Linked DNA regions of Rattus norvegicus. The protein of the gene in region 2 interacts with the protein of the main gene of each other region in a pairwise test. Links are inferred from orthologs where the notes say so. Each region holds a gene or a part of one and is shown on either strand. Other genes may lie near its edges.

Region 1 (3,752 bases), on a different chromosome or scaffold from region 2:
ACACACACACAAACACACATATACACCACACACATAAACACACACATACACACACACACAAACACACATACACATACACACACACACCACACACACACAAACACACATACACATATACACACACAAACACACATACACACCACACACATACACACCACACACACAAACACACACACGTACACACCACACACACATAAACACACATACACACCACACACACCACCACACACACACACACACACACACACACCCCAAGGCTAAAAAACATTTTGAAAAATTAGTTGAAAAGCTTATCTCCTAAATTTTTTTTATCTTTTCCGTTGAAAGAGCCATACTTAATGACCTATGATACATTAGCCTTTCACATGTGGCTACTCGTTTATTCATCATTAATTGTTTAATAGTCGTTTTATCAGCTGAGATCTCATGTAGCCCAAGCTAGCCTCACACTTAGTCTGCATCTGAGGACAAGCTTGACTTTATGAACTCCAGTTCCCAAGTCCTGGGATCTCAGGCCTTGCGACCATGGCCAGTTTTATACACTGCTGGGGTTTGTGCTTGCCGTAGTCTCCTGATTCACCTACACTCCCCACCTTTATTGTTCAAGTGCATTTACAAAGCGGTTATTAAGTTTGAATATCATGAACGCTAAAAGCTTGTGGGCCACCTGCATGTAGAGTTGAAAATATAGAACTTCACATTTCCTTGAGACTGTCCCTACACTCAGTCAATCTGAGAGGGTTGATCTGAGTCTTATTATTCAGTATAGCTTTTTCACAGACACATACATAGTGAAGTACTATATTAAACATTTTGTCAATGTGCATAATATAAGATATTTGCGGCCTTTTCAGTAAATGAAGAAGGTTTGCATTAGCTGCTCTTTCCATGAGATAAACCATTTTGTATTGGTAAAAAAAAAAAATCAAAATGTTCTGCCTATGAAAATGTCTTACAGTGAGTTCTGTTCCATCTGCTAGACTATAGGCAAAGTCGACGCCGAGTTCAAACACAACATCAATGTTTCGGAAGTTGCTTGATTCTTTGACTGTGAATTTATTTCCTTCCTGTGTGATCGTCAGTTTCAGGTTGTCATGAGCTCCAAGCTTCCTCTTCACCACATTAATGCCTGCAAAGGAGAGAGATGGAGGGAGCGTGAGATTAGAATGTCACCCAAAGGGTTTCTCTTCCCAAGTTCTGTTTCCATTTGCTCATCTTTATTTTGTGGGTGTGGAAGAAAAAGCAAATAGTGTCATGTATGCAAACAGCACCAACAGGCTTCTAGAGAAAAAGGGAGAAGCACTGGCAGATCCAGGGAAGGTTCAAGCTGCTTTTCCAAAGTAAGAAAATGTAAATGAAGCCACAAACGGTAGCACCTCAGCCCTGGATAGCATGAACGAGATTAGCCGACCTTTCGCTTCCATGATCAGGCAAATTTCAGCAACGTCAAGTGAAGTATTAAGAGGCATATTGATATATTAAAGAGACACACGCTCAGGTTTGAGTATTTATTTCCAACACTACTTTGCTTTCAAAATTGCTTGTATTTATTTTGTTGTTGTTTGGAACCAGGTCTTAGTGTGTAACTCAGGCAGGCCCCAAACTTACTGCATAGCACAGGCTAGCCTATAACTCACAGTCCTCTCTTTTCACTCTTCAGGACTGTTGAGATCCCTGGCGTACACCATGGTTTGTTTGCCTCGTAATTCTATTGACTCTTTGTAGCATTCCTCATTGGCCTAATCCAGAAAAATTATAATGACATTTTATGATTAATTCATTATAATACGAAATTTTATAAACTTCAATTCACAATCCCTCAAGTGAAAGAGATAATTTATTCAGGCTTTATTTTGAGAAATGAAGCATGTTTGCCCAGTTTGTAGTGTAGGCTACCAGGATATTAGCAAATATGTATAATATTGTTAAATTACACCTCTGTGAAGAATATACCGCTTTTTATACTTATTCCTGAAGTTAGATAAGTCAGAGAAAAGAATTCCATATGATTTATTCAAGCTGAGTTTTGACAAAATTCTTTTCTTTATTAAAAGATCCTTGCTTTTTAAATCCCCTATAGGCTAGTGGTTTTTTTTTTAAGCTCTTGAAATTATCATAACTCACCATACTATTCTTTTTTAAATGAACACAAACATGTCAGTTTTTACACAATTATCAGGCAAGGGAAGAAACCACAGGTGGCTCTTCCTTGGTGTGTTTCAGAGAGCAGGGCTTGCCCTAGCGAAACAAGATATTCTTCCTAAAGCAGGAAGTGCAAATATGGGTTTCCTGGCTCTGAACAATCACGCCTAGAACCTTACCACATCCCAAGTCATTCAGTAACTACAGACAGGAGAAAGCAAATAGACAGGAAGCCAGCCCTTACCCATTTTCTCCATGAACTTTTCATAGTTCTCATTCCGGTCTACTTTCCAAGTGCCATCAAATGCCATGATGTCAGCTGTGTGTGCCTCTAGGAAAGCAGAGATTCGGTCCTGTCCACTAGAGAGAATTTATTCTATTTCTTATCTTCGAACCAATTCATACCATGATGTGGAAGTTCAAAGTTCAAGAGATAACCTGGCAGTTTTGCATGCCAGGCCCCTTTAGTTTCTCTTCTAGTGCTTTCTTTGAATCTATTGCTGAGATTCAACTGCATTCAAATTTGGTAACCATACCTACTCTGTCTCCGACTACAGCATGTAGGCATTTTTATTCCAAGAATTAGGGTCAAGTGTGATGGCTTCCACCTTTAATCCGAGCTCTCCAGAAGCAGAGGCAGACAATTCTAGCCTGCTGTAATAAGGAGTTCCACTCCAGCCAAAAGACAAACAACAAGAATGAATCAGGCGATAAACCAAACCAAACAGACAAACAACAACAAGAAGAAAAAACCCTCAAGATACTTTTCTATTTACAGGTTCAAAGTGCACACTCTACAGCAGGTGTAACTATGTAATTATGTAACTATGTATCATTTGTAAGAAACGTCAAACAACTGGGATGTGAGACTTATACCACGAATCTTTAACAGGAGTTGAACAAACTATACAAAAGTGCAATTGCAAAGTTAAAGTTTAAGTGATTATTGGAACTAAAAAATGTATTTTAATTTTTCTGTGTTCCTAAGGTTATTTTATTGATATCAAATCAATCTAAAATTTAGTATATAAACTATTTGCCCAAACATCTCTATTATCATATTCTGAAACAGTGTCATTATCCCCAAAAGAAACTGCATACATTTTAAGCAGTGGGTTTTCATTTTCTATTTTTTTTTTAAAGAATTTTTTACTTTATGTATGTGAGTACACCACCGCTGTCTTTGGACACACCAGAAGAGGGCATCAGATCCCATTACAGATGGTTGTGAGCCACCATGTGGTTGCTGGGAATTGAACTCAGGTCCTCTGGAAGAGCAGTCAGTGCTTTTAACTGCTGAGCCATCTCTCCAGCTCTCATTTTCTATTTTTAGACCATTAGGTTCCCATCCACTTTCTACCTCTATGGACATTTCATACAAATATAATTATATATCAGGTAGTCTTTTTATGTTTGAATCTTTTCACCGAATGTGTTTTCAGTATTTACATATCAGCTACCTCTTTATTTTTTTAAATGTTTTGTTCTTGACTAATGTGAGTAAATTATGCAAATTAAGGAATTCAGCATGACATTTCAATACAGGCATAATCAAATCCAGTTTCCCTCCCTCCCTCCCCCCACGCCGACCTCCAGCAACATACTCCAGT
Region 2 (3,752 bases):
TTTCTTACTTCCTTTAAGATCCTATCTGACCTCTCATGCTCTCCTAATTTCATGACCAGCAAACATACATACGTAAGAACACACACCCGTGCACACATATGTGTGCATGCATTATATGCATTTACACACAGTTTAAAATTTAGGCTCTTTCTGTAACAGGAAACATATAGTATTTTTTAAGTGAGTCTGCTTTATTTCACTTAACATAATGACCGCAAGTTGTACCCCTTTCCCTGTAAGTCATGATTTCAGTTTTCTTTATGGCTGTGTAGAATTCCACTGTATCTAGGTACCACACTTGCTTTATTTCCTGAGAAACTGTTCAAAAGGCAGTTCCTCAACCTGTGACATTTGCAGCTCAGATTTCTTTAGGAAACCGGGTCGAATGACTTCTAGATAGCAAGGAGAGGAAAAAACCCAGATAAATTGTGAAAGTGGCTGAAAATTTCTGAAAGCTAGTGTATAGTGTCTCAAATTGTTGTCAAAATCTGTAGCTATTTCCAGACTTGTGACAGTAAAGCAAGAGAGTTATGACTTCTGGGCCAGCTTGGGTTACACAGTAAGACTCAGTTTACTAATGAACAGATAAACACAACGCAACACAAAGACAACACAACACAAGACAACAAACTATGAGAGAACTGACGCTATGATTTCTGAGTTTTTAACACAGGGCTTCTATTTTTCCCTAGTACTAGAAACTGAAACTAGGACCTCATGCATGCTAGGCAAATGCCTTACAACTGATATCTATATGTGTACCTGATACACACACACACACACAAACACACACACACACACACACACACACACATACACCTACGTACACACAAAGCCGTGTAGAGATTATTTTTTAGAAATAATAGTTTAACTGGTAATTCATATCTTATATTCTTTTCTTCTTGAAGCTTGCTTTCATGGTAAAGGTCTTTCAGTACTGTGTTTTTGTTTGTTTGTTTTTGTGTTTTTTGTTTGAGACAGGGTTTCCCTCTGCAGCTCTGGCTGTCCTGGAACTTGCTCTGTAGGCCACTTTGGCCTCAAACTCAGAGATCCAGCTGCCTCTGCTTTCCAAGTGCTGGGATTAAACACATGCACCACCACTGCCCAGCTTTCTCCATGTTTTATATTAGTTTCTTCATGCCCATTAAAGTCATGGAGAAAATTAGCTATTACTGTACCCTGGAGAGTGGTTGAGAAGAGTAAATGGTGTCCCTGACATTTCTAAAGCAAGGTATGAATTTCAAAAGATAATTTTCATCAAAAAAACTACTGGTGGACGTAAAAGTGAAATATGTATTTTGAGTTACGTTGTATAGCTGTTCTAACCCGTTTGAATAGTATATGCTACTGCATTTTGGCAAGACCACTGTCCTTTGTTGACTGACCACATGTTCTGAGCTAGAACAAACCAGTAGTCATGTCTAAAGTCAGTTAATATTTACTCAGGAATGCGTAACCCAAGAAAGAGTAAACTTAAAGAAGAATCCTCAATGCATGTCATATAAGAACAATAGTATATCCTGTCACATCTTGGTACTTGGAAACTCTGTCAGTTTCAGGGGTACAAAAGACCAAGGAAAGGACACAATTTTTGAGAATGACACCTTTCACCAGGAGCACATATCATTCTGAGGCTCTGATTTTGTAGCTGTTTGCTTTTTGCAAGGCACCGTGGAGGAACATTTCAGGTTAGGCAATGATGCCGCAAAGATTTATTAAGTTCAGAAACAGGAAGTCAGCACTAAGAAAGTGGTGTCCACAGGGCCAATGTCTGTTAAGTATTTGCCAACGTTCTGCGTGCTGGCGGAGTGTGAGAAGTTATATAATTCATTTCCAACTGTGGTTCAGCAGCAGGGACACGGACACCAAAGTACAAGTGAGTAGTTCCAGGATCACGCATAAACTCAGTGCTTACCGCAAAAGGAAGAGAAGTAAGATGCTGCTTCCAACAGCTGCTGTCTTTCCAGTCTCAGCACCTCAGCTAGACCTTATTCAGAGTTGTGTTTGGTGAGGATGCCCGTACATTCAGTAGGAAGAGTGCCTTGTTACAAAGGAATGTGGAAGGACCCTTCCAGGCTAGTCATCTGTGATGCCACTGGCCCTGGAACTCTGGAGAGAACTCTTGTACCTTAAAGATTGTTAGAACTGGGGCAAGGTGCTGTCCTTCGAACATTCCAGGAAGCTTTCCTTTTCATAAAATGCAAAATGAGTCCTCCTAGCGACTCAGAGCCATTTTTTTCTCTTCCCCTAACACCTGGACACATTTACTCAACAGATTTAAGGTTTCCGTTTTCATTTCTAGAGTCTCTTTCAACCCACCTGCCTATTTTTACAACCATCTCTTACAGTCTTTCTTTCCTGATAAGCATTTCCTTCATAAATTTAAACATAAATTAGCAGGGCTTAAGAAGCCCATTGCATTGTTGTGGGAGACATATTTCAGGAAGCATCCTATACCTTCTGTTTGTGAGCTCACCGAGAGGATTATTTTTCTGTTGGAGTCTAGTATGTTGGGTTGTAGGCACGCTTCCAGAGAGCCTTTGGTGTGGTGTGGTGTGGTGTGTGTGTGTGTGTGTGTGTGTGTGTGTGTGTGTGTGTGTGTATGTGTGTGTTTGTGTTTATTTTTTTATTTCTGTGTGGTATTGAACCCAGTGCCTCATGTACTCTAGGCAAGCAAGACTTCTTCCACTGAACCACATTACAGCTGTCTGCAGAGCCTTTGAGCTAGCCCCAGGCAGGTCTCTCTGGCCATGAGCACTTACATGCCAGTTTCTTTAGCTGGTTCCACATTAAGAAGAGAATACAAGTATCATTTCTATACTTGTGCAAAGGACAGACTGAGACTCTTACTGTCTTATCACAAGAGTGTATCTTACTATATTCTTATTGCACTTACTAGATTTCTACAAAGGGCATTTTCCTCAGTTTCCAGGTGATATTTTCTAGGGTTTTTCCCCTTATACATAGTTTCGGTAGACAGGAAGTTAATTTTTATGCCTTTATTTTCATCAAAATCACACAAAAACAAAAGCTTGCTTTGAACAGGGTGAGAAGTTGTATGTGTGTGTGTGTGTCTGTCTGCAGTGTTACAGTTTCTATTCAGGCCAATGTCTTTCCTTCTCTCTCTCTCTCTCTCTCTCTCTCTCTCTCTCTCTCTCTCTCTCTCTCTCGTGGTGTGTGAGTGTGTGTGTGTGTGTGTGTGTGTGTGTGTGTGTGTGTGTGCAGTGTTACAGTTTCTATTCAGGCCAATGTCTTTCCTTCTCCTTCCCTTTCTCTCTCTCTCTCTCTCTCTCTCTCTCTCTCTCTCTCTCGTGGTGTGTGAGTGTGTGTGTGTGTGTGTGTGTGTGTGTGTGTGTGTGTGTGCAGTGTTACAGTTTCTATTCAGGCCAATGTCTTTCCTTCTCCTTCCCTTTCTCTCTCTCTCTCTCTCTCTCTCTCTCTCTCTCTCTCTCTCTCTCTCGGTGTGTGTGTGTGTGTGTGTGTGTGTGTGCGCGCGCGCGCACGTGCGTGTGCTGTGTTGGGGTTTGTATTCAGGCCACTGTCTCACTGTCTCTCCTGCTAGGCAAGTGCTTCATTCTGATGAATCCTCCATTGACATCTTGAATAGTCTCCGGAACTGTAGATCAATCTGAGTAGATCAGAGCATAAAAGCAGTTTCCTGTAATAGTCAGGCCTGAATTGATTTGTGTTAATACAGCTCTTGATGTGATTGCCTTAACTAAGTATTTATTCCCTTCAAAGGAGGAAGCAGA
Region 3 (3,652 bases), on a different chromosome or scaffold from region 2:
GGGGACATTGCTGGCTCTGCTGCAGCAGGATGCCCAGGTGAGAGAGAAGAAGCACACTGCCACAGTTGTCCGTGAACTGGTTTATGGTTGATGCGGGTTGCCCTGGGAAATGGTAAGGGGACCATACCGTAACAGGGCTAAGCAACACAGAAAGGACTATGGGAGATTTCTCTTTTTGGTTGGAGTCTCAGGACAGAGTAGTTGGTGCTCAACTCTTGAGGTTTTTTTTAGCAGCTTTATTGAGGGATCATTGACAGATGTTAAACTGATGTCCCCTTGATGCCACAATCAAGGTGTAGCTCTTCCTGTTTGTGTTTCCCATGCTGTGGCTTACCCAGTCACTTTGTCAGATACAGGCGGCCATATCATCTGTTGATAGTGCCCTCGGTCACACACCTGCCTGCAGTAGCCTATGTCCTCCTCTTCCTTTCTGTTAGGCCTGGCTCCCTGAAGAGAAGTCTGGCTTCCCAGAGCTCGGATGACCACTTGAACAAACGGTCTCGCACCTCCTCTGTGAGCTCCCTGACTAGCACATGCACAGGAGGCATCCCCAGCTCCAGCCGCAACGCCATCACCAGCTCCTACAGCTCCACCCGAGGTGTCTCACAGGTGGGTCTCCATGAGCAAAGGAGCAGACCTCCCTCCTGCTTTGCACTGAACCTGGCTCTAGCCTGAAGTAGCAAATAAACGAGATCAGTGGGATAAACAGCAAGCAAACCTGGTACAGAGAGCCTGCAGATAGAGACTGAAAAGCAGTGCGGTAAATGGGACTGAAAGAGTTTGTTCAGTGTGGAATATAAAGGAGATTTATAGGCAACTAGAATTTAGTGTGAGTTTTGATGCATGAAGAAGTTGTCATTCTTGTTTAGAGTTAGTTAGCGTCCATAGGTGGGGAAGCCAGGCAGCCCCACTGGCAGGCGTGCTTGGGGTTGAGTATTGGTATTGACACTAGGAGCTGCACAGGCTCCTGCAGGTAGATCAGTCGCCCTTTGTGTTTTTCCTTTTGTTTTTGAGACACGGTCTCATGTGTCCCCTGGCTGTCCTGAAGCTTGCTGTACCTCAGGTTGGGCTTGAACGAGCAATGAGCCTCCTCTTTCTGCCTCCTGAGGATTAGGTCTCCAGCTTGCACCTCCATACCCAGCTGGTATTTTATATTCATATTCATATTCATGGGGTGTCAGAATCTGTAAAAGTGCAGGGTGTACTTGTTATTGTAGGTGATTTTTGTTGAAATAATGAATACAAGTATTACCTTTTTATTTTTTTTTTTAATTTCTTTTTTTTAACTTATTATTTTGCAGTGTGTGGTGGAATACATGGTCTACGTAGTAAATTGCAATCAGGGCTATGCAGTAAGACATGGTCTTAAAAAAAATAAAAGAAAAGAAAAATTATTTGGGCCTCTGAGAGTTTAGGGGCAACATATGCATGCAGGTGCCCAGAGGCCACCAATCTCCTAGAATAGGATTATAGTACTTGTGAGCAGTCTGGTGTGGAGGCTGGGAACCAACCTGGGTCGTCCTCAAAAGCAGCAAGTGTTTCTTAACCACTGAGCCAGCTCTCCACACTCTCAAAAAGGTTATTTTTAGTTTTGCTGTAGTTGTTTGTTTTTCTTTTTAGTTTTTTCAGACACAGTCTCTCAGTAAAATAGCCCTGGCTGTTCTAGAACTAAATATGTAGACCTGTCTGGCCTTGAACTCAAAAAATCCACCCTCCTTTGCCTCCCTAGTGCTGGGATTAAAGGTGTGTGCCTCACCGTCTGGCCAGTTCAGAACATCTGCCAGTAATGGTCTCAGATGTGTCTCTGCTTGACTTGCAGCTGTGGAAGAGGAGTGGTCCCACCTCTTCTCCCTTCTCCAGCCCAGCTTCCTCCCGCTCCCAGACACCAGAGAGGCCAGCCAAGAAGACAAGGTGATCATCATTCCCTCCTGGTCACTTTGTATGGACGGGGCAATGGGCTTAACAGGGATTAGCTGGTGGGCTGCTTTTTCTGACTCAGCAAATCAAAGAGTCAAACCCCAGAAAAGTAGCAAAGAGCCTGCTAGAGTTATGTCCCTGTCCTACAGTGAGAGCAGCTGATGGCTGGAGTTCCTTCTCTGTCTCATACTCCACTGGGAGTGGTGCAGAGTGGACCCGGTCAACAGGGAGCCTGAGTCTCTCGCCCCAGTTCACCCTTCCCTGGAGCTCAGCTCCCTCAAGGATCAGGTCTGTCTGTGTCTGGCCCCACCTCCCTACCTGCCACCCAGCCTTTTTTTATTTTGTATGTCTGTCTGTCTGTCTTGGGCCTGCTTCCTCACCAGTTCCTCCTTGTTCCTGGCACTAACCTACCGTTAGAGCCTGAAGATGTAGTCTGGGACCCTGGACTTGGCAGGCTTTGAGTAAAGCTTTGCAGATCCCTGTTCTGTATTTGATTAAAGGCTGGTTGTTCATGGCCTCTGTCAACTCATAGTGATATGCTGACACCTAGAGCTGTGGTTTTTCTAGACTTTGCCTGTGTAGGAATGTGCAAGTGTGTGTGGGGGGTGCCATGCAGCCTCCAGGCCTTCCCAAGTAAACCCTAGCTTTTCACAATCTCCACAGAGAGGAGGAACCATGTCACCAGTCCAGTTCTTCAGCTCCCTTGGTGACAGACAAGGAGTCCCCAGGAGAAAAGGGTAAGTAGAGAAGCCATGGGAGCCGAGAGTGGCATCTCCAGTGGAAGTTAGCCACTGTGAGGCTTGGAAGATAGTTGTAGCCCTTTGGAGGTCCAGCATAGGAAGAGTGTCCACTGCAGAATATGAGGACTGCCAGGCCATGAGCTCAGGGTTGGGCTCTGAGGAGTGGGGTCACAGCTGTTCCGGAAGCAGTCAGAAACAACACTAACACAGAAAACAATCTCTTCCAAACTGTCTTGACCTTACTAGGGAGGCCAGCAACCCTTGTTTCTGTAGTTACAGATCCAGCCACGGGGAAGCAGCAGAGCCTGTGGACTTCCCCACCCACACCTGGCAGCTCCGGGCAACGCAAACGCAAGATTCAGCTGCTGCCCTCCCGGCGAGGGGACCAGCTCACCTTGGTATGTCTTATCGATCCCTCTCAGCTCTTTTAGTCTTAGGGAGTCTGGGGCAGGTTTCCACAGCTTCTGGGGTTGGTCTAACCTGTCTCTGTTTGCTTGGGCAGCCTCCACCCCCTGAGCTTGGCTATTCCATCACTGCTGAAGACCTGGACATGGAGAGGAGAGCCTCACTGCAGTGGTTTAACAAGGTCTTGGAGGATAAGACGGGTAAGACTGTGGAGCTCAGCATGCTCTGTGTGTGTTTCAGCTTTCCTGGGGAGAGAAGTTGTAGAATACTTGATTTTTCCATTTAGTTCTGAGTCTCATCTTCCAAGACTGCCTTCAGAGTCATAATACTGCTGCTTCAGCCTCCAAAGTGCAGGGTTTCAGATGTGTGCCATCACAACCAGCTCTTGGGTCTTTGTCCCCACTTGTTCTACCAGGGGCCTTATTACCAGGAGCTGTCACCAATACTTTCCCATGGGAAATGGGAGTTTTGAATTGTGTGTGAAAATAGAGTTACTGTGTAACTGCTTAGTCTCCCATTCATAGTCCTCTTGCCTGCACTCCCGTGTGCTGGAACACAGGCCGTGTGCCACCAGTGAGGTTAGGGAAGCA

Evidence for each region.
Region 1: the proteins of Agr2 (region 2) and Fabp2 interact in binary tests that used the Homo sapiens proteins (3 or more experiments, as listed by UniProt). The two-hybrid records come from large-scale screens. The link is inferred for Rattus norvegicus from reciprocal best matches to the Homo sapiens genes AGR2 and FABP2.
Region 3: the proteins of Agr2 (region 2) and Pom121 interact in binary tests that used the Homo sapiens proteins (3 or more experiments, as listed by UniProt). The two-hybrid records come from large-scale screens. The link is inferred for Rattus norvegicus from reciprocal best matches to the Homo sapiens genes AGR2 and POM121.

The regions. Positions count from the first base shown.
Region 1 is NC_086020.1:213,723,342-213,727,093, reverse strand, and holds the start of Fabp2 (fatty acid-binding protein, intestinal), read right to left. Parts: upstream 2,466-3,752; 5' UTR 2,454-2,465; coding exon 2,387-2,453; intron 1,130-2,386; coding exon 957-1,129; intron 1-956. UniProt on the Homo sapiens protein: FABPs are thought to play a role in the intracellular transport of long-chain fatty acids and their acyl-CoA esters. FABP2 is probably involved in triglyceride-rich lipoprotein synthesis.
Region 2 is NC_086024.1:58,434,291-58,438,042, reverse strand, and holds the start of Agr2 (anterior gradient protein 2 homolog precursor), read right to left. Parts: upstream 2,136-3,752; 5' UTR 1,916-2,135; intron 1-1,915. UniProt on the Homo sapiens protein: Required for MUC2 post-transcriptional synthesis and secretion. May play a role in the production of mucus by intestinal cells. Proto-oncogene that may play a role in cell migration, cell differentiation and cell growth. Promotes cell adhesion.
Region 3 is NC_086030.1:26,919,996-26,923,647, forward strand, and holds part of Pom121 (nuclear envelope pore membrane protein POM 121), read left to right. Parts: intron 1-437; coding exon 438-609; intron 610-1,819; coding exon 1,820-1,911; intron 1,912-2,580; coding exon 2,581-2,654; intron 2,655-2,930; coding exon 2,931-3,055; intron 3,056-3,159; coding exon 3,160-3,262; intron 3,263-3,652. UniProt on the Homo sapiens protein: Essential component of the nuclear pore complex (NPC). The repeat-containing domain may be involved in anchoring components of the pore complex to the pore membrane. When overexpressed in cells induces the formation of cytoplasmic annulate lamellae (AL).